4 linked regions of the Arabidopsis thaliana genome follow. The protein of the gene in region 3 interacts with the protein of the main gene of each other region in a pairwise test. Each region holds a gene or a part of one and is shown on either strand. Other genes may lie near its edges. The genes, in order: BHLH92, AT1G68670, TTG1 and ATMYC1.

Evidence for each region.
Region 1: the proteins of TTG1 (region 3) and BHLH92 interact in a two-hybrid assay, tested with the Arabidopsis thaliana proteins (2 studies listed by BioGRID).
Region 2: the proteins of TTG1 (region 3) and AT1G68670 interact in binary tests that used the Arabidopsis thaliana proteins (3 or more experiments, as listed by UniProt).
Region 4: the proteins of TTG1 (region 3) and ATMYC1 interact in a two-hybrid assay, tested with the Arabidopsis thaliana proteins (2 studies listed by BioGRID).

What each region holds. Positions count from the first base shown.
Region 1 is NC_003076.8:17,532,032-17,537,015, reverse strand, and holds BHLH92 (basic helix-loop-helix (bHLH) DNA-binding superfamily protein), read left to right. Parts: upstream 1-2,219; 5' UTR 2,220-2,257; coding exon 2,258-2,608; intron 2,609-3,106; coding exon 3,107-3,397; coding exon of another isoform or gene 3,398-3,409; exon of another isoform or gene 3,410-3,604; coding exon 3,605-3,706; 3' UTR 3,707-3,886; downstream 3,887-4,984. Other genes in the region: AT5G43660 (2-oxoglutarate (2OG) and Fe(II)-dependent oxygenase superfamily protein), read left to right, coding at 1-16, 102-226, 313-434, 511-679; AT5G43640 (Ribosomal protein S19 family protein), read right to left, coding at 4,646-4,894.
Region 2 is NC_003070.9:25,779,332-25,784,780, forward strand, and holds AT1G68670 (myb-like transcription factor family protein), read left to right. Parts: upstream 1-2,469; 5' UTR 2,470-3,012; coding exon 3,013-3,145; intron 3,146-3,233; coding exon 3,234-3,502; intron 3,503-3,581; coding exon 3,582-3,897; intron 3,898-4,092; coding exon 4,093-4,169; intron 4,170-4,272; coding exon 4,273-4,542; 3' UTR 4,543-4,787; downstream 4,788-5,449. UniProt on the Arabidopsis thaliana protein: Probable transcription factor involved in phosphate homeostasis.
Region 3 is NC_003076.8:8,369,362-8,374,877, reverse strand, and holds TTG1 (Transducin/WD40 repeat-like superfamily protein), read left to right. Parts: upstream 1-2,030; 5' UTR 2,031-2,144; coding exon 2,145-3,170; 3' UTR 3,171-3,171; intron 3,172-3,697; exon of another isoform or gene 3,698-3,746; intron 3,747-3,871; 3' UTR 3,872-4,561; downstream 4,562-5,516. Other genes in the region: AT5G24510 (60S acidic ribosomal protein family), read left to right, coding at 5,012-5,080, 5,240-5,452.
Region 4 is NC_003075.7:216,156-222,137, forward strand, and holds ATMYC1 (basic helix-loop-helix (bHLH) DNA-binding superfamily protein), read right to left. Parts: upstream 3,627-5,982; 5' UTR 3,530-3,626; coding exon 3,381-3,529; intron 3,255-3,380; coding exon 2,967-3,254; intron 2,627-2,966; coding exon 2,530-2,626; intron 2,405-2,529; coding exon 2,390-2,404; intron 2,246-2,389; coding exon 2,189-2,245; intron 2,088-2,188; coding exon 1,599-2,087; intron 1,521-1,598; coding exon 1,110-1,520; coding exon of another isoform or gene 1,101-1,109; exon of another isoform or gene 1,079-1,100; intron 1,026-1,078; coding exon 965-1,025; coding exon of another isoform or gene 951-964; exon of another isoform or gene 887-950; coding exon 711-886; 3' UTR 657-710; downstream 1-656. UniProt on the Arabidopsis thaliana protein: Trancsription activator, when associated with MYB75/PAP1 or MYB90/PAP2.

The sequences.
Region 1 (4,984 bases), 9.2 Mb from region 3:
AGGGATGCTGAATTAGGTGAGTCCCTTTTGATTTTCTGATATTACTTGAGAAAACCAGAGTGAATTCTTTAATCTGGTGCAGTGATCTTTTAAATCTGCAGGCTTTCATGTGGAAAATTCAGACATTACATTGAATGTTTGTTTGAGTAAACAAAGTGAGGGAGGGGAAATATTATTCACAGGCACACGATGCAATAAACATTTGAAAGCAGGTCCAAAGCCAGAGGTATGTGAGTCCTCTTACGTTCCTATATTCAGTAAATGGCAAAATGGTTAGCTAATAAAGGAACCAATTATTTCTCACTGAAACAGGAAATTTTTGAGTACTGTCATGAACCGGGTCAAGCTATACTTCACCTTGGCTGCCACAGCCATGGTGCAAAAGCCGCCATAACATCTTGTAGTCGGGCCAATATGATTCTTTGGTGCATAAAGTAAGCAATCATGAAGCTTGCCTCAGGATTTCAGATCACAACTAAAACACCTTTTCTTCTGCATTTCCATTTGCAGCTCTTTGTTCAGAGAGATGCAAACTTATGACAACGAATTCCGAGACTGGTGCGGTCAATGCGCCCGTGAAAAGAAAGAAAAGAAAAGCCAGAGTCTTGCTTCCAAAAGAAAGGTTAAGAAAAGAAAAAAGGACATGATTTTGCTCAAGTTTATAAGATGTTTTGTTTGAGCATGGTTATGAACCTGTGGGGGTCCTTATTGCAGGAGATGATTAGGATAATAGAGTGAAGCCGAAGCCCGCTGAAAAAAATGAAGTCTATGCTTTGAATTTTGACTCTTTACTTGGAAAATAACACTGAGTATATGTAGAATCATTTGATGTAAATAGGTCTTTGTGTCTTCGAATTTCTTACATTACTACTATGTACATGAAAGTTACCAGTTACATGTTTAGGATCGGCTATATGTTTACAGTTTACTCGCCGTATCGAAGCAGTGTTCAGTGTCAGCTGAAAAAGAGTACATATAGCCGGTCCATTCGGTTAGACTCATGAAAACCGGTTTAGTAATCATATGTTTACAGTGTCAGCTTTTTTTTTGAAATGTATGATTTGGTTAACCGGTTTTAAAATTGTGAACCAATTCAATTGTGCAATTCCGAACACTAGCGATTCGAAGTAGAGAAAGTAACATTGTACCAAGCTAAACCAACGGCGATGAATGCTAGAACCGCGATGTGATGTGTGATTAAAGAGAAGGTTAGGAGGAAGTAGAGGATGATAAATTGATTCGGAAATGTGTGAGGTTTTGTGTGACGCGTGTGGTGGCGTCGGCGATGGACTAGCGGCGCTGGTGATTGGTTGTGCGGTTTCTTTAACGCCGGAGATTACTTGATTCGCCACCATTGTTGCTCTGGATTCTAGAAACTTCTGAAAATCCTAAATTCGTTGGGAAAAGAGGAGAAAGTCAAACTGATTCATGAGAAGTTAAGAAAGCCCAAGCCCATTAAATTGAGTATCACTTAATTCGTTATTTATACTAAAAAAGATCGTTTTCTAGAATCGAAGTTGGTAGTGTAAAAGAAAAAGAAGTTGAAGAAGCAAGAATTTTCCATCGAAGTGGTCAATTATCCGAGTGTAGTAAAGATAAAATCTCTTATCAGAAAATAAAATAATCGAAGTTGGTCAATATTTTTAGTCAAGTCATTCACACGAGGAAATTTCCCACCCAAGAGTTAGGATACGTGGAAAGAAAATCTCAATGACTAATGTGTTACAATAATTAGACGAAGAATAAACTAATGCCACACACACACACGCACAAATTCCACTTGTGATGACTGATGAACTTAATTATTATTATTAAACCCTAAGGTTTGATAAAACGGTATAGGGCCGGCTCTTTTCTTTTCTCCACGGTGTTGTGTTTTTTGAACTCACAAAGGAGATTTTGTACTTTAACTTCAAAAAGAAAATTGGTTAATTTGAAAACAAACAAACAAATAGTTATAGCTTTTACGCGTCACGTAATGTCTAAATTTTGTTGCCAAGACACGTCACTTGACTTTCTCTAGAGTTCACCTTTGATACATCATTTGACTGTCTCTGGTTTTCTCCTATATACGTCACTTCATCTAACCAAGAAGCTGAGAAAACTATTCATTGACCACGTTCTCAATATGTTTCACGTGTGTTAAATCAACAAAACCACACGTGATTAAATCATAATAGGTATATAGACACACCACACAAAAGACAACATCAAAAATCACACAAATCAAGATTGTCAAACACACTAAGAGAGAAAGATGGATAACTTTTTTCTAGGTTTGAGTTGTCAAGAAGAAAACAACTTCTGGGATCTAATCGTGGCCGACATCTCGGGTGATAGAAGCGTCAGTGTACCTATCAGAAGCGCCTTTAGGTCATATATGAAGGACACGGAACTGAGGATGATGTCGCCGAAGATATCTTCTTCGAAGGTGAACGTGAAGAAGAGAATGGTCAATCTTCTGAGAAAGAATTGGGAGGAGAAGAAAAATACGGTGGCTCCAGAGAAGGAAAGAAGCCGGCGACATATGTTGAAAGAAAGGACGAGAAGAGAGAAACAAAAACAGAGTTACTTAGCTCTCCATTCTCTACTACCATTTGCCACTAAGGTACCTTGATTATTTGTGTAATATTAAACTTGAAACGAACTTTATTTTTCTTAATGACTTGGAAAGAAAATCATAGTAGTTCTAACAAAAATCCGAATTTTTACAGTTCAAAATGGCACACAAAATTAGATATTCGGTAGAAATGGATTAGATTCATGGATACTAAATTTTCAGAATTTCGACTACTATGTCTGTTCACTGATCTTTGATGTTTGTATGCTTAATTACATGCATTGATCTGGTTTTAGAAGCTTATCTTAAATATCTATAAATTTATATTGAGTAAGGTATAATATAAAGTTTTGAGTATGATAAATTTCCAACTACAATCATTTGTATAAAATGTTTGTAAGTTTTTGCACTGGAATCTTTTCTTTTATCACTATTTTCTTTTACTTAAGGATTTTGATATAGAAACAAGTTTAAAGAACATCATAGATTGATATCGAAACAAGTTTCAAGACCATCATTTCTCCTTATATTCTCATTTTATTTCAGAATGACAAAAATTCGATTGTCGAAAAAGCCGTGGATGAGATTGCGAAATTACAAAGATTAAAGAAAGAACTAGTGAGAAGAATTAAAGTGATTGAGGAAAAATCAGCAAAGGATGGTCATGATGAAATGAGTGAAACAAAGGTTAGGGTTAATCTAAAAGAACCTTTGTCTGGACTAGATTCAATGCTTGAAGCGCTTCATTATCTTAAATCAATGGGAACAAAACTGAAAACAGTCCATGCCAATTTCTCTCCTCAAGAGTTTTCTGCGACCATGACCATCGAGACTCAGGTACATATTTAATTCGATTCGAATTGGTTGAATCCGGTTTTGGTTTCTCTTTGGTTATGACAACTTGACAAGTACATAAAGGTAATAATAGGTAGGTTGTTTTGTGTTAGTAGCAAAAAAAAAGTAGATGGTTGTATGTTTTTTTAATTAAGTAGTTAGATCTGTATTAGTGTGATGATATTAAATTTAAAGTTAACTTTTTGGCAGATTAGAGGAGAGGAGGTTGAAAAGAGAGTGGAAAGAAGACTCCAGGAAACTGAATGGAAACTTCTCTTTCTCCCAGAAGCTTCCTTTTACAAAGACTACTAATTCTGTTGACTTTCTGTCATTAATTTTCTTTTGTATTTAAATTTGTATATAGTTAAATACTTAAATTAACTGGTCATTGCTTTATTGACACACATAAAGAAAAATAATGGGGCACACTACTTTTGAGTTTTGAGTTTTGAGGTTTGAAAAATAAAACTAAGAAAATAATATTGATAGAATATAATAGAAAATTTATCAAGTATATAACCATATATAGTGCCAAAATTTGCAAATTGTGTGATAGATAATTTGGTAAATATGTAATGCATTTTATCAATAAAAAATACCATAAAATTTGATTAAAACCAGCATAAAAACCTATCCCAATTAAAGTTTATTTTGAAAAATAGAAATTGGAAAGTTCAATACTTTGGCTATTATTATTTATTATTCAATACTATTTACTACGTACACTCTATAGTAAGAGTTTTTAAACATACAATGTTATTCTTCAACTTAATACGTTGCTGGAACAAGTAAACAACTCAAAACATTAAATAACTAGGAACATAGGGATTAATATATTTGTGCGTTACAATCTTAATAATTGTGAACTAGTACTATCTTATTAGCAAATACACTTGTTCACCATGTGGTTCATTATTTAATTACTTATGAAATCGCCAAAAAAGACCATAGATTTGTCATAGGAAATACAAAAATGGATAATAAACTTTCACCTACCGAGTCAAAACAAGAAGGAACTAAACAAGAAAACAGCTCCTTCAACCAAAACTTTTTGCATATTTATCAAATATTTGAAAACTTTAAATTTGGTAAAATGAATGAGGAGCAAAATAAGATAATTTAACACAGTACTCAAATCTAAACCCTCCTGGTGGAGTTAAACAGAAAGTCATCAAAATAATTATCGAAATTAAGACTTAAAAATGAGATCAAAGTCATCTAAGAAGATAGATATGGAGATAAGTAGCTTCTTCACTTGAGAGGGATAAACCTGGAGGAATTGGTAGCACCAACACCAGGCCTACCGTGCTTTACCGGTTTGTATGAGATTGAGAACTCAGCCAAGTAATGTCCAATCATCTCCGGCTTGATCTCGACTTGGTTAAAAGTCTTTCCGTTGTACACACCAATGATGCTTCCAATCATTTCAGGCACAATGATCATGTTCCTCAAGTGTGTTCTCACTGATGCTGGCTTCTCACCAGCTGGTGCCTCCATTTTCTGCTCAAAGACACAAAAATCATTGACTCTTTAGTATTTTAAAACCATTTGGTTGCAGAGAAACAGCACATTATTCTATATATGGATACA
Region 2 (5,449 bases), on a different chromosome or scaffold from region 3:
GGGACCGATACGTTGAAGGTGGACCTACCGTTTTAGGGTTGTTTAACACTTGAACCGTCCGTAAGTCTTGTTAAGCTATAATTTGTTAGTCTTGGTTAGAACCGGTTCAATGTGTGTATGTATGATCTACGGTTTATACTTTTTTTTTTATTTTTAGTTGGTTTTGTCATTTCTATATATAAAAATGTAAATGTTCTTTACTTCTTTCTATTGTAATTTGTAAATGTTCGTTGTCTCGGTATCCTGCACAATCTAGCTTCAGTGACGATGTTTTAGAGAGGCTAAGGTTAGGTTGGTAACTGGAATAGAAACCGGAGCCTATTTTCTTAAACCATTTTCAACGGAAGTTTCTTAAATCCAGCCACTTTGTGAAATAAATCTTGGAGTTGAGATTTATTTACATTTGCTGCCACTGATATTTAATAATTGTTTTTGATAATTAGAAAGAAAATCTTCTAATTAAATATTTGACATTTAATAATCTTCCCAAAATCTTTCTACCTTAACTACACAATTAATTACTAAAATAAAACTTCCAAAATATTTAATATCATTTAATTACTACAAAATTATCATTTTTGATATTTTTGCTTTTCGGCATGACTATAACAATTCAATTATAATCATCAAACCGCAGAGATATTTGATAGCATTTAATTACCACAAAATTACAAAATATTTAGACAATAATTCATAAACATATCATAAATAAGATCAACATTAATAAAATAAATAGTTTTTTTACGGGACGGGTTGACGGGACGGGTTTGGCAGGATGTTATTTAATAACAATTGTAAACTATAAAATAAAAATATTTTATAGATAGATACAATTTGCAAACTTTTATGTATACTAACTTTAAAAAATAAATTATTTCTGCGGTGTACCGCGGGTTAAAATCTAGTGAGTTTTTAAAATAGAATCAAGTGTAAATATAGATAAATAATATATTTTAATGATGAGGTTCTTACATTTGAAGAAACTTAGTTCAATTGACTCTTAGTTAAGAAACAATTGGACTAAGTTTCTTCAAATTTAAGAAACCAAACTAATATTTAAACAATATAATATTTTTATTATATATCAAGAATTTTGTTTAGAAACTCCCATTGAAAAAACTCTTAACTTCCATGTTCTTGGTAGTTTCCCTTGGACTCAGAGTCATATGTTTTATTTTTGTGCATTGCCAATTGACAATTATTGCATTAACTGATTAACCGTCTCTTTTTAGCTCTAATTGACACTCTTAACTTTGTTGTTTAATTGTGGCTATGCAATAGCTATTATGAAGAGAACTCCAATACATGTGTTGGAGTCTTGGAGATCTTACTTGCATCTTCAAACATTCATAATACTACAACTTAGACATTGTTTGTTTTCTTTTCCCATGGAAACAAATTTTATCATGTGCTAATAATAAAGGTAAGAATTGATGGAGCCAATCTCGTTTAAATCTATATGTCCCACACCTCCCACATAAAGACCAAACATGTATTAGCTCCATCAGATTGAGACAACAAAGTTCTATGTGTAGATTTAGATGTTTTTTCTTAAAACAGATTTGATTAAGAACATGTGGAATGAATCTGATATTTGCCTATTATGATGATGATTAAAGCAATAAGCATGTTGTAACTTTCCATCTACAAGAAAACAGTTGATCATTTCAATCGACCTTCAAATAGTTTCATCAATCATACATAAGTAGACCCATAAAATAAAATTTTGATGATCCTAATGGTGATTATTGTGAATGAAATTAGTCCAAAATCTTGCTGTATCTAAAAAACACAAAAATACTATTATCATATTCATATGCATTAACTCATCCTATCAAGGAATCGAACCACCAAAGAACCGTTTGTTTTTCTTAAAAAGATAACGACGAAACCAATAAGATAAATGAATATGACAAAAGCAGAGAATCTGGTTGCATCAATTGAATATTTGGTCACGTGGGTACGCGCTCTATGCGCGTGAACATTTAGCAAATTGGCTCTTGAGGAATATGAAAGGTCGGATATGTAAATAATTAATACGCGGCGTGGGCAAATGTGATTCTCACACTTCCTTCCAAAAGATTCTTCTTTCTATTTTTTTTTTTTTTTTTCCTCCCCTAGAATATTCCTTCACCAAATTAGCTCATTTCCAATTCAAATTTTAATATTCGTTCTAAATATCTGTAAAAACGTAGTCGAGTGGTAGGTTACATAAATTGTGAATGATTAACGTTTGGAGTTGGAATTAAGATATCACTAATGATATGATTTATTGTCATTGAAAGTTTTAAACATAATTTTTCCTTATGAGATAGTAGTAGTATTTTAATTTATTTAATGAAACGCATATTTGTTAGGTGAACGTCAATTTTTATGATTTTTGGAAAAGACGCATAATAAAAACCAAATCTTTAAATTTGAAATTCTAAATCATAAAATCTCCATTTAATGAATAGATTTGCCCATATAGAAACACAGAAAATCATTTCTATTAGATGATAGTTAAGTTAAATGAAGGATAAAACAATCGTTGGAAAACAAAACTCTGGAATCTTAATTAGGGGAGAAGAAAAATGGTTGAGTTTTCGTTCTTATCTGAAAAAAAAAAGCTAAAGAGATTGGAATAGTGACGTCAGTTCCAGCCCATACAAAGAGATGCGAACCTATAATCGAATCTGATCCTCCGAATATTCACCCATCATCTTCACGATATTACTATTTTACCCTTCTCTTCCAAAAGAGAAAAAAACATTTTAACTCTCAAAGATTCGTTTTAGGTACGCGACGGCCCGACCTCGATTCTCTTCCACTTCTTTCTTGTTCCAAAAACCTAAACCCTCTCTCTCTCTCTCTCTCTCTCTATCTCTTGAAAAATCAACAAAACATTGGAATCAATTTCTCTATGTTTTGATTCTATTTTAAAGATCCAATATTCTTTCTCCATTGAGATTAAGCTTCTTTCTCGCTGTCGTCTCTCTATAGATCTTGGTTCTTAGTCCCTTTTGAATAATAATGATGGTGGAGATGGATTACGCTAAGAAAATGCAGAAATGTCATGAATACGTTGAAGCACTTGAAGAAGAACAGAAGAAAATCCAAGTCTTTCAACGCGAGCTTCCTTTATGTTTAGAGCTTGTCACTCAAGGTAATAATAATCCAATCAAAATCTCCAATTTTTAAACAAGTCTCTTACAAATCTTGATGGGGTTTTGTTATGTTTTGTTTCTGTATAGCGATCGAAGCTTGTCGGAAGGAGTTATCTGGTACGACGACAACTACATCAGAACAGTGTTCAGAACAGACCACAAGTGTTTGTGGTGGTCCTGTCTTTGAAGAGTTTATTCCTATCAAGAAAATTAGTTCCTTGTGTGAAGAAGTACAAGAAGAAGAAGAAGAAGATGGTGAACATGAATCTTCTCCAGAACTTGTGAATAATAAGAAATCAGATTGGCTTAGATCTGTTCAGCTATGGAATCATTCACCGGATCTAAATCCAAAAGAGGTATTTAAAGTTTTGAGCTTTTTAAAGGAGTTTTAGTTTTCGATTATGAGGAAATAATCATGTGTTAATTGAATTATAGGAGCGTGTAGCTAAGAAAGCGAAAGTGGTGGAGGTGAAACCAAAAAGCGGTGCGTTTCAGCCGTTTCAAAAGCGCGTTTTGGAGACTGATTTGCAACCGGCGGTGAAAGTAGCTAGTTCGATGCCAGCGACGACGACGAGTTCTACGACGGAAACTTGTGGTGGTAAAAGTGATTTGATTAAAGCTGGAGATGAGGAAAGACGGATAGAGCAGCAGCAATCGCAGTCGCATACGCATAGAAAACAAAGGCGGTGCTGGTCGCCGGAATTACACCGTCGATTCCTAAACGCGCTTCAGCAGCTTGGAGGATCTCATGGTAATTACGATTAATTTTAATTACCTGATTATCTTCTATCTGATTGGTTCATTAGTGATTCATAATCGGGTTGATAAAGAACTGTTTTTAAACATTAAAACGTCTCAACATTTACATTATATTAGTAAGTAACAAAGATTATTATCAACATTAAAAAATGATTTTTATTTGACATTTTATTTGCCAATCTTGCAGTTGCTACACCAAAGCAAATCAGGGATCACATGAAGGTTGATGGATTAACAAACGACGAAGTTAAAAGCCATTTACAGGTTAGTGATTAATGATTCTTATGTTATAATCACAAGTTCGTGAAATTGGTAATTAAATGAAATGTTACTCAAGTTCTTAACCATTTTTTGTGTAATATTTCAGAAATATAGACTTCACACAAGAAGGCCAGCAGCAACATCCGTGGCGGCACAAAGTACCGGGAATCAGCAACAACCACAATTTGTGGTGGTTGGAGGCATATGGGTACCATCGTCACAAGATTTTCCACCACCGTCCGATGTAGCCAACAAGGGTGGTGTATATGCTCCGGTTGCGGTGGCGCAATCTCCAAAACGTTCGTTGGAGAGAAGTTGCAACTCGCCGGCGGCATCTTCCTCTACAAATACAAATACTTCTACTCCTGTGTCATAATCTGATAGTCATACTATAATCATCTCCTGATGTTGATTTTGGTGTAGGTTTGAAAATGTTTATGTGAATGTAAGAAATATTTTCGTCCGTTTTTGTTTGTAACCAAGAAATGTTATTTCCTCGGTTGGAAATTTTGAATAAAGTAGACGAATGCTACTATGTAGTATATACACGAGATAAGTGAAGACTCTTTGTTTTTCTAACTTTGGATATTTACTAAAATATCTTCTTGTTTTTGGTGTCTAATTTAGACAGATCTTCGTGATGAATCTGATGGCAAAGGTTATAATTCATCACCTTCGTAAATAGTAAAATACAAAGGTAGATAAGAGAATCTAAGATGAATTGAGAATAACGTGCGTGAATGGTGATGTAGATATTTGGTGTGACAATTAGAAGTGATTTATTTATGGTAACGCTTGCTTAAAACAAAGGTCCATGAATCGACCAACTAACCATTCACAGAATTGAATACCAAATCTATCTTTTTGCATGGCAATTTATTAAAATAAATCTAACGTGGCCGCCTCTGAATCTTGCTTAATAGAATAGTAACCACTAACCATAATCAAATCATTAATTTAGATTTTTTATTTTTTGTCGGCCAATTTAGATTATAGTATCTTTTTTTTTTTCCTTCACATATCTTACGGTAATTGACTCGAACCGGAATTTCTTTAGAAAATTCAAAACCAGTTTAATAATCGGGTTCATGGAGAATAAAAAGGTCATGTTCTGATTTTTATAATAAGTCCTTGTTGACTAAGTCCTTGTTGAATAAGTCTTCCTAGATTATAGGAAAGTGGACGATTAAATTTGTATTATGTTTTGATTTTATATGTTATAGAATTTCAGGTCGATAAAAATTGTGACATTTGCATTGTGTCTAGGGTCTTTCGGGTTTTTT
Region 3 (5,516 bases):
AGAAACATCATCCCGTAAGATTTCATCCGCACACCGGAGAACATAAACAAGAGCATAAAAGCTTAAAGACAAGCATAGTTTGTTAACATGTCCGTAAAATGATTAGCCTCTCTATATGTGAAACACGGTCAATCTAGTTTTTCGATAAAAAACTATAGCGCAAACGTACTGGAAATGATAGCAGATGAGAGTCCCATAACCTTGTCTTCAAAATCTCAACCACCATTTACCACAAATATGGGGATGAAAACAGGCAAACGGTCTCATACGTTGTAAATAAGCATTCTTAATGTCAAGTTGGTAGATAGGCCATAAAATAAGCATCCTTATGTTTAGCGCATAGCCTCCACACCATTCACCCTCCTCATTACGTATCAGACCACCACCAGCCGCGAGTCTCGAATTGCCATAAAATACCCCATCAGTATTTAATTTAAACCAGCCCATAGACGAGATAAGCCATTTTATCAGCTTCTCAACCCGACCAGCCCTTTGTGTTGCCTTTCCGCTACTAGCTCTCGCCTCCAATACCTCCTTAGCTAACTCTCTTATGAACCGCACCCTATTCTTCCATACTTTATTCTCCCCAAAAACTAGCTAATTGAATTACCAACATTTGATCAAGATAATATACTAGGTAGCTAATTAATGAGCTCATTTTTTTTTGTCGTCAATGGGCTAATTTATTAATTACAGTATGAACTATTGACTATTATTCTAAATAAGTGAATATCACGAGTATGTACGAATTATTGGATGTATCTATTTGTATTGATTGATGTAATATCAAATAGTATGAATTTGGAGTAAACGTGGGTTTGGGGTTGAAGCAGGTAGGGCATGTCAAAGTAGGGCGTCTTTCGTTATGTCCCTTTCCTCTAAATTTGAACCTCTGTCATTGTACAGAAAAATCGTAATAACCCATAAATGTGTTTTAAAAAACATTATTTCGAGTTTTCTACACATATTCTAGTCATGTTTAATTTGAATCTTTTCTTATTTAAGTAAGCTTTAGACATTTTTAACCTAAGTTTTCTTCTCCCTTCATAAATTTTGAGATCTATATAATGTTCTTACATTTTGGATCAAGATCTTCATATTCTCATTCCAATTAGTAAAAGATTTTTTCACCTTTTAATCTCTTATCTTTTATTTATATTCTTTAGTTATGTTTATGCTTTTCATCATATTTAGTGGTTAGTTTTTATTATTTATTTATTGATTCATGACTTATGCTAGATTATGATAAGAATTTATGTTACCACTTGATAAATCCTCCATTTGACATGTGTTTAATGCTAGATTTATATTGTCTCCAAATTTACAACTTCGATGTCTTATGATAAATGCCAACAACCAAATTTCAGATAAAGATTAGCAGACTAACTAAGCTTATTATTCACTTGCAAGGTGGAGTGATGTTGAAAGAACCCTCACAGACACGTCATTGGGAAGACTAAATCTCTTTTTAGCACGTTACACCTTTGAGATCGCGTTTATTCCATATGGAGAGAGAGCAACAATACGAGACATGGAGAGGCACCATTACCGCCGGCGCAACTGCTTCCAAATATTGACAAACAAATTTGAATCTGGATCTTCTCTATTCGTGAACAAGGAGATAGAAGCTACGATGAATGCATGGAAGCTTGGTTTGCTTTAATATAAACACTAAAGGGGAGTAGAACTTTCTTGAAAAATTGTATGCAAATTATTTACCGAATGTTAAAAGCTTTTTTCGAATAAATTTTACATTTTCTTAATAATAATAATAAAAAAGGATTGTTGATTATCTTAATCACAAACAATTTATTTTAGCTGAATTAGACAATTGTTAGTAAAATGATTAGAGTGTCACATATTAATGTTGTTAGTGTTTCATGTCATCCTAGTGATCCAATAATTAGGCCATTCTATAGCTCTTAACGTTAAAATAAAAGGCCCATTATCTGAATATACAGAAGCCCATTATCAATAGATACATTAAAAGATACTGATTAATCCAGAGGGTTTATATCTACGCCGTCTCCATTGATTATTTCTCCGTCTCTTGAAAAATCCGACTGACACTGACCTCAAAACTCTCCTCTCACTTTCGTCGTGAAGAAGCCAAATCTCGAATCGAATCAGCACCACACATTTCCATGGATAATTCAGCTCCAGATTCGTTATCCAGATCGGAAACCGCCGTCACATACGACTCACCATATCCACTCTACGCCATGGCTTTCTCTTCTCTCCGCTCATCCTCCGGTCACAGAATCGCCGTCGGAAGCTTCCTCGAAGATTACAACAACCGCATCGACATTCTCTCTTTCGATTCCGATTCAATGACCGTTAAGCCTCTCCCGAATCTCTCCTTCGAGCATCCTTATCCTCCAACAAAGCTAATGTTCAGTCCTCCTTCTCTCCGTCGTCCTTCCTCCGGAGATCTCCTCGCTTCCTCCGGCGATTTCCTCCGTCTTTGGGAAATTAACGAAGATTCATCAACCGTCGAGCCAATCTCGGTTCTCAACAACAGCAAAACGAGCGAGTTTTGTGCGCCGTTGACTTCCTTCGATTGGAACGATGTAGAGCCGAAACGTCTCGGAACTTGTAGTATTGATACGACGTGTACGATTTGGGATATTGAGAAGTCTGTTGTTGAGACTCAGCTTATAGCTCATGATAAAGAGGTTCATGACATTGCTTGGGGAGAAGCTAGGGTTTTCGCATCAGTCTCTGCTGATGGATCCGTTAGGATCTTTGATTTACGTGATAAGGAACATTCTACAATCATTTACGAGAGTCCTCAGCCTGATACGCCTTTGTTAAGACTTGCTTGGAACAAACAAGATCTTAGATATATGGCTACGATTTTGATGGATTCTAATAAGGTTGTGATTCTCGATATTCGTTCGCCGACTATGCCTGTTGCTGAGCTTGAAAGACATCAGGCTAGTGTGAATGCTATAGCTTGGGCGCCTCAGAGCTGTAAACATATTTGTTCTGGTGGTGATGATACACAGGCTCTTATTTGGGAGCTTCCTACTGTTGCTGGACCCAATGGGATTGATCCGATGTCGGTTTATTCGGCTGGTTCGGAGATTAATCAGTTGCAGTGGTCTTCTTCGCAGCCTGATTGGATTGGTATTGCTTTTGCTAACAAAATGCAGCTCCTTAGAGTTTGAGGTGAGAGTTTCTGTTTCGCTACATAATTCTCATTTGCTAGGCCTAGATTCTAATGAGGAAGCATTGATTATTGGTTTAGATTGTGTTGCATTACAGATAGTCTTCTAGGTTTGGTAACTAAACGTTTTTTCGATTCTTGATAACAAAGCCACTAGAGATTTGACACTAACTCGTTTTAGATTTACCTGAATCAATATCTCTGTTAAAATCAATTACTTTGTTATGCATACATAAATCACAGTTTAGTAGTCATATATATTGGCTCTTATTAGCGACAGGTCTCACACTTGCTGTAATGGCTGATAGTGTAGTAGTCATATGTTGGCTTTCATCTAAGTTGATGTATCATATGATGAATAGTTGTACACTCGTCAGGTTCTAATTTTTACCCATAATTCTTCAGTCTATTTTTTTTTGAGACAATCTATTCTTAATTTAACGAAGCCACTAGCTACGTATACAAATATTGTTAATTTAACGAAGTATCTGAGAATTGTTTACTGCTGACTGTGCTGTATGCCCTCAGAAACATATAGAAGTGGAATTGGAAACTTCATGCTGGTTTGAACATCTTTGTATGTGTGCTTCAGGTTTTTGTAACTCATTTAGACAACAGCATTGCATATATACACGCACATATGCAACCTAGAAAATCAAATAACCTTTCCTTATAATTACTATACATTTCACTTGATGTCAGGTGCAGATGTGAAGTGATCAATAAGGATTTTAGCATAGACCCGTATAATCGTCATGTGCGTAAGTAGGTTTGGTTTGCGCTCCCTCTCGCTTTTAGGTCCGCAATGACTCTGTATCTATCTGATTGTAACTAAAACTGAATTCATTTGATGAACCAAATGATACTATTATCTTATGTTGTGTATAAAACCCAACCAGGATATATTGCGGTTTCTGGTGTTTAGATTTGGTAATTGGAGCTTAGTACAATGCAACCCTGTCTTGCTTTATTGGACGTCTCTAAGATAAATCAGCTTGCAATGAATTCCAATGGAGTTTGTCAGTTTGAATTAACTTCTTTGCATAATTAACACAAAGATTTGCAGTATAAATTCCATTGGAAGACTTATTTGTTTATTTGACACAGATTTAAATTGAATTTCAATGGAGTTTCAGTCGACTATGTGACACAAAGATTTGAAATGAACTCCAATGGGAATTTGGTGAGTAAATTATTATAAACAATCCAATGTTTGACACAAATATTTTAGAATCTTCACATCTGAAGTCTTATAAATCGTAGCAAAATTTTCAATCTTGAAAATTATAAAAAATGAGAATTAATTTAAATCACTGATCCGATAATCTCCTCTAGAAATATAAGAATCTATAAACCATTAATAGTAGAATTCCAAAATGTTATAAATCTATATACTATAAATGAAAATTTTACTTTTTAACTTTTGTCTCCATAATATCATACCATACTTAAAATTTTATTTATTTTATTCTAATAATCACAATGTGTTTCTTTGTATATAAATAGAGTTTTTCTAATGGTTTGAGAAGTGATTTGGAAAACATGGATACTCATATTTTTTTCAATTTATAAGATGATCAAAATAGAAAATTTAGCTTATGAAATCTTTTAGATTTAGGAACAAATGTATACTCTAAAATGTAACTATTTGACATGTGTCAAAATGTTTTTAAATTTGTTGTGATCTTGTTACAATTAAGATCAAGCTACTTGTCAGATTTTATGTGATGGGTTAAATTTTACAAAATTCTAGCCCAAATATAAAATACCTACGTCCTCAAAACTTAAAATGCAAGCGATAATAATACAACTTAGAGTACAAAGAGGTTAAAGGTAGATAGAATGTCGACCAGTGAGCTCGCCTGCACTTATGCTGCTCTCATCCTCCACGATGATGGAATCGAGATCACCGTTAGTTTTCTTCTCTTCTCTCTTTCTTCAAATTTGTTTTCTAGCTATTGAGACACTGTTTAGCCTATGTTTTAGTCTCTAGAATCGTCATCTCTCTTTTCTTGCCTTGTGGTTTCAAACTGATCTCACTTAAGTGTTGTAATAATGTAAAATTATTAGGCTGAGAACATATCAAAACTGGTGAAAACAGCCAACGTGAATGTCGAGTCATACTGGCCTAGCCTCTTTGCTAAGCTATGTGAGAAGAAGAACATCGACGATCTCATCATGAATGTAGGAGCCGGTGGTTGTGGTGTGGCTCGTCCAGTTACCACTGCTGCTCCTACCGCTTCTCAATCAGTCTCTATTCCCGAGGAGAAGAAGAATGAGATGGTATTTATTATCACATTATTAATTACAACAAACTACTAAATCAAATACTAAATGGTATAATTGT
Region 4 (5,982 bases), on a different chromosome or scaffold from region 3:
GCATCAATTGGAGATATATAATGCAAGTGAAACAATCAAATTTTATAACGCACCATAACATTTACTACTTCTTTGGAGGCTCTATGAGTTACAAGAGAACACCATTAATTATGCATTCAAGAAAGAATCAACAGTTTTCAATAAATACCTTTTCAAGTTACATTATCCTCCGTTTAGTAAATATCAATCCGTTTATTTAAGGATTTAGAAAGAAACTGAAGCACAGAATCACACATGACGACCTAAACGAAGCATAATATCAAGAGGTTGAGGCTACGAGACAAGTTTAGGGCTTTTGGCGAGCGCTAGCTTTTCTAATCAAACGGGTTTAATACGGCCCAAAAGCCCACTAAACCTAATAGCCTATGAGGACCAAATCAATTACTTGAGGTTTAAGGTACAACTTATTATGATAATGTCGGCAGAAAAATTGCATTAGTAACTTTAACAAATCCCACATCGGAAACATATGGAAATTTTAGCTAGTATATAAGACAGATTTAGTTCAAGCATTAGTAACCAATTGGCTTTGAGGTGGATAAAGCTCATTAGCTTTCCCATGAGATCATGATCCTTGACCCAATAGGGTTCATTCAAATTACAATAGGATATGTATATGATCCATCCTCTTCACGGGAAAGAAGTTGAGCCAAAGCCAATTGGTTATTTTTTTCTATCAATACAAATAATATAATAGCTCAAAACAATCATTAATGAAAGATACAAATCGCCCATGAATTATGAATAAGTATAGATCTTGGTTTTGTAGAAGAGGAAGAGACAACGTTGTCGAAAATTCCAACCAAACTTTGGCAAACTTTACATACAAAAACCCTGAAAACTTGATGTAAAGATAATGGCACATCGCATATCGGTTCACGAAAGTCTAGATAAATATAACATTTCATCAAAAGTTTAAGAAAATATAAGAATTTTTACTAAGAAGAACATTAAAACAAATCACCAATGACTCTTCTCAGCTCTCGCTTAATCATTCCTACGGACGCAACTGCAGCCCCGCGAAACTGCATGCATAAACCCAAAAACGTTACGTGTAAGTCAAGAAAACCCAAATCTGCCTTTTCCAAACATCAGTAAGATTAATTTACCTTGGCCTTGAGATTCAATGTGAGGAACTTATTGAGCGTGTGAGATCTAACAGAGAAAGCATCCATGTGAAGATTGCTCAGAGTTTCCATGATGTCCGCAACTATGTAGTCTCTGTAAGAACATCTTACTTCGATCACAACTTCTGTTTCTTTGAGTTTAACTCTCAAATGTGTCTTATCTCTGAAAACAGTGACTTGTTCGGTTTCTCCTGAATTGTCATCGATCTTCGTGCTATCATCGTAGTTCCCTGATGTCTCTTCGATCAACACAGAGTCGTTAAGGTTCTCTGTCGTCTTTCTTTGTCTTTCTACAAAATTAACTGATCCCATACAAGATTCTAGCTCTTCTACTCTTGCCTCCAGTTCTTGCAGGTACTTGATTGTGTTGTTTAGTATCGATTCTTTATCAACCTGCACAAAGATTCAAAACAGAGTGTTGGCTTCTGAAACACAGTCTTGTCTCTAAGGATTTAGAAAAAGAGTTATTACCTCGTTGACAGTGGGAACCATAGTTCTAAGGACACTGAACTTTTCGTTCTCTTTTCTTCTATCTGAAGGATCATCTTGATTCAGACCAGAGTTCTGACTTGGGAACATTCTCTTTGTGTGCATCAAAGGGACATCATGCAATATCTTCCGCAACACATTCTGTGACTTTTTTTTCTGAACAAAACCCGAGACTTGCTGCTCACATTGCTTCCACCGCAAGAAACTTGAGCCAGGTTCAGAAGTAACAATATTTGGCTGACGATGACGAATGTTCTTATCGTTCTTACCTGATCTATCTGCGGAGTAGTTGAGTACTGTTGAAATGGTTCTTTTGTAATGCAAGTCTTCATCAGAAATACCTAATGGAAGCTGATGCTTCTCTTCACTGATCTTAATCTCCATCTTCTTCTCGTCATCGTTGTCTTGGTGTGCAGATATTTCCATCAAGCAAGATTTGATGTTTCGAAGCAGGTTATGGTCTTCTGAAATCTTTCATTGATCATGAACAAAATTAAACAAAGTAAGGTATATTTAATTCTTGTGAAGCAAGCAACAAAAGTAAAACTTTATATATTAAGATGGAGAGTTACCAATTCAGTGACGCCCAGCTCAATGACTCCGCCCAAGTAAGGGAAACACACAACAGTCTGGAGATAACAACACAGATACATTCTATAAATCTTCTATCCAAATTGATATATAGATAACTAAACTTTCATTTCTAACAATAAGAGAACTAAACTTTTATTTCTAACAATCAGAATCCAGTTATAACAAACATTATAACGTACCTGAATTGATGCGCTCTAAAGGAGAGAAGCCATATGAACAGTAATGAAAAGCAAAGAAGATCAAAGGAGATTTTTAGTCAGATTCGATCTTGATATATCAAGATTCAAGAAGAGGAAATTAGAAGTTTCTGAGAACTTACTCTTGCTAACAAAGAACGAGAGAAGAGCTTGTTCTCCGCATATTGAGCGTTGCAGAGCCATATGGTCTCACCCGTCGCTGAAGCTCTTCCAGGCAAACTAAAGTATATACATAAACAACCAAAAAAGCCAAAATGACAATAATTAATGATCATAAAAGAGAAAAAAAAAACTTAATCTAGGATTACTTAAAATGCAAAAGGTGAAAGTGTAACAAAAAGGAACCCCAAAGGAATAATCACTCCACTATTTACCAAATGGTTTTGGTGGTACTAAACTCTTTACCCAAAGTGATGGATGTTTCATCTTAAAATGAAAGGACATTTCTCATTACTTCTTTATTGCAAATTGGTTTTTCTATATGAATAGTTCACAAGAGCTAATATATTTTAGTGTACAAATTCATAGGAGAAGAGAGAGAGAGAGTGAGAGAACAAACCATTGTGAAGGAGAGAAGACATAGGACATGGAGACTAAATAGTACCACTCTTCATCAGAGAGGTCATCTGGTGACAGCATCATACTTGTACTGTGACAATTATCATCATCATCATTGAGATTATCATGAGTAGTACTAACAGTAGTACCACTGTCTCCTTCAAGCATAGACAAATAAAGTTTCCGAAGCTCCTTGCTTTTTTGCAACCCATATTTATAATGAGATTCATAACTCTTCTTCCTCTTCTTCATATCTCCATTGTAACATCCTTCTCCCCACTCCAAAACCCTAAATTAGTAGAACATAGTACTCATAAGTAACCCAAGATTTAAAAGAAGAGAAAATGGAAATGCAAAGATGAGAACAACAAGATCTGATAATTTTGGTACATGATGAATATTAGATTATACTTACCCAGGTTGAGTAAGTGAAGACGACCAGAAGATTGCGTAGCTCCATTGAACACTTCTTACAGCTAAAGCAAGTTGTTTTCTTAATAAGCTGTTTTGTCTTTTACTTCTTCCTGCTGCAGCTTCTACACCATCAGCCATTGTCAAAGACATATCTAGATATCGTGAAGAACTGAATTTAAAAGTATGGAACCAAAGTGATTGATAAAGAGGAGACAACCAAAAGGCAAAATTTATTAAAGAAGGGTTTGGTATTGAAGCTTTATTTCCTTTTCTTTCTTTCTTTATTGCTTTCTCTTTCTCAGCTTGGTCCTGATGGAAAGTCTTAAAAGAGTGTCTTTAAAGTTGAGTACTGTGTCTGAATTATGAGAGAGAGTGGTTGACTTGGGTCATGATCTTGGTTTTTGGAGTGACTTATCTTTATACAATACATATGGTAATAGTGTTGGATTCTATTTGGTGAAAACCAAGGTAAAATATTCTCTAAATTAGTGATGATGCTGAAAAATATTGCAAAAAGAAAGATTCAATATAGTTTTTTTGTTTCCTCCTATTCATTTAGTCAAAAGCTTGGTTATTACTACTATACTAGGTGATTGGCCAACATCATGCATGGATATGAATCATAAATTTAAGACCGATCTTTTTAACTCTTTTGGATTTGTGTTGTCTTAAATCCACTATGATGTTAGAGTTTATCGTGACACTTTTTAAAGAATACAACTTGAGATAGTTTGACCATAATGATTAATGTTTTGATGATTTCATATTATAGGTTTGGTTTGGATAGTTAATATCCAACAAGAGACAATATAAATACATGTTGATATTACATTGTACTTATAACTAATTTAGATGAATACACTTATGAAATCAACAAAGTAGAGATTCTTAGATTCTTAGTTAAACTTGTGTTGGTTTATATAAACTTAGTTACTTTTTTTTTCGTGTTAAGACATGTCGGGGTCTTATTGTCTTACAATCATTATATATTTGTATCTATCTTGTTGTGTGGAAATGGAACGTATCGACCTACATTGTTTTTTTGTGTTTTGGTAAACGTATCAAGTATCAACATACTTTAACAACCAAAAAAATTGAACTCTTTGTCTGGCTCACATCAATGAAGATGATTAATTTTTTGTTACTCGATCTTAAATATATGACAAACAGAATGTAGTTATACGTAGTTGCAAGAAAATGGAATATACTATTTGGATAGTGAAGATTCTAGTTTCTATGATAGATATAAATGCGCATTTCACCCGAATAATTCCATGATACTCTAATAGATTATATATTAAACAAATACACACTACTGTTCAAGTTTGATAATCAATCGCGAGACATCGCATATACCGATCGTTATTTGTTTACCATCAAAGCACTATTTTGTCCGAAGTAAGTAAATATAGCAAGTGGCAGTAAAAAAATAGTAATAAAATTGAAGGCAAGATCAGGAGAGAGCTGGCTGAAATGAAGGCAAGAAACTCGTGAAAATAATAATTGATCCATCTCTATCCACGAAGCCCTACATAATTTAGTAACGCACCACTTGTGGTTGCATGCACATTTATTTCCATAACGACAAAACTTTGTGTTTAATTTTATAAATTATTTCTGTTGGCACAACACACTCATTATAGCCATATGTTTGTGTTTATATTTTCTATTTTCATAGAAACAATTAATTTAATTTTAGATGCCCTAGACATTTTTTAAATGTATATAATAATAAAATTATAGTATAAAAGTCTATATATTACCCTAAATTTTACAAAACATATACAATCCTAACCAATGGGATCCTATATCAAATTGCATTCAGGATGAAAAAGAAGCGACATGAACCACGACAAAGAGAAAAGTTAGATAAATTTAAAGTTGAGTGAGAACTTGAAGTCTTTAATTCTCATTATACAAGCAACAATTTTCTTTCTTCGGAGAGAAAGAAATGAGAGATTGCACAACACTTCAAGTTCTCTCCTAAGATTGTTTTGTGGCAGATTGACATAACCATCCGTGACAATATCGCAAAGGTTGTGGAAGATTGTTGTCCCAATGGTTCACCCAAACCTAGTTACTATAGTTGGGTCTTGACTTGTATTAGTTTCAGTTTTTTTTTTTTTTTTTTTTGTTGGGGTCCATATCTAGAAGCTGTCCCAAAGTAAATAACAATGTTTCTTTTGGTAATAGTAATTCACATTTTATCCTTAAAAAATCTTCAAAAAATGAATATGAAAGTTACGACTTACGAGAGAAATGCAATTGTAAAATAATGAAATTCAAATTTAAAGCTTCAATGATTTTGTTAAGACAGAGAGACGTAGCGCATTGATTACAGACGCGACACATCTGACATACAACATTTGCCACTACAATGCACGACTGTCTTCGGATTAATACATTAATGTTACATCGTTAGTATCAATCTTACAGATTATAAATAGCTTAGCCGATTGTTTAAGATAGTATTATTCTAAATTCATATACACTCGTGCAAGTACAACAACACACTAAAGTTATTAAATAATAAACACATTTGATGTAGATAAACTACTTTTTTTAGTGACGTGACTTTACAGGCCCAATAATATATTCTGAAA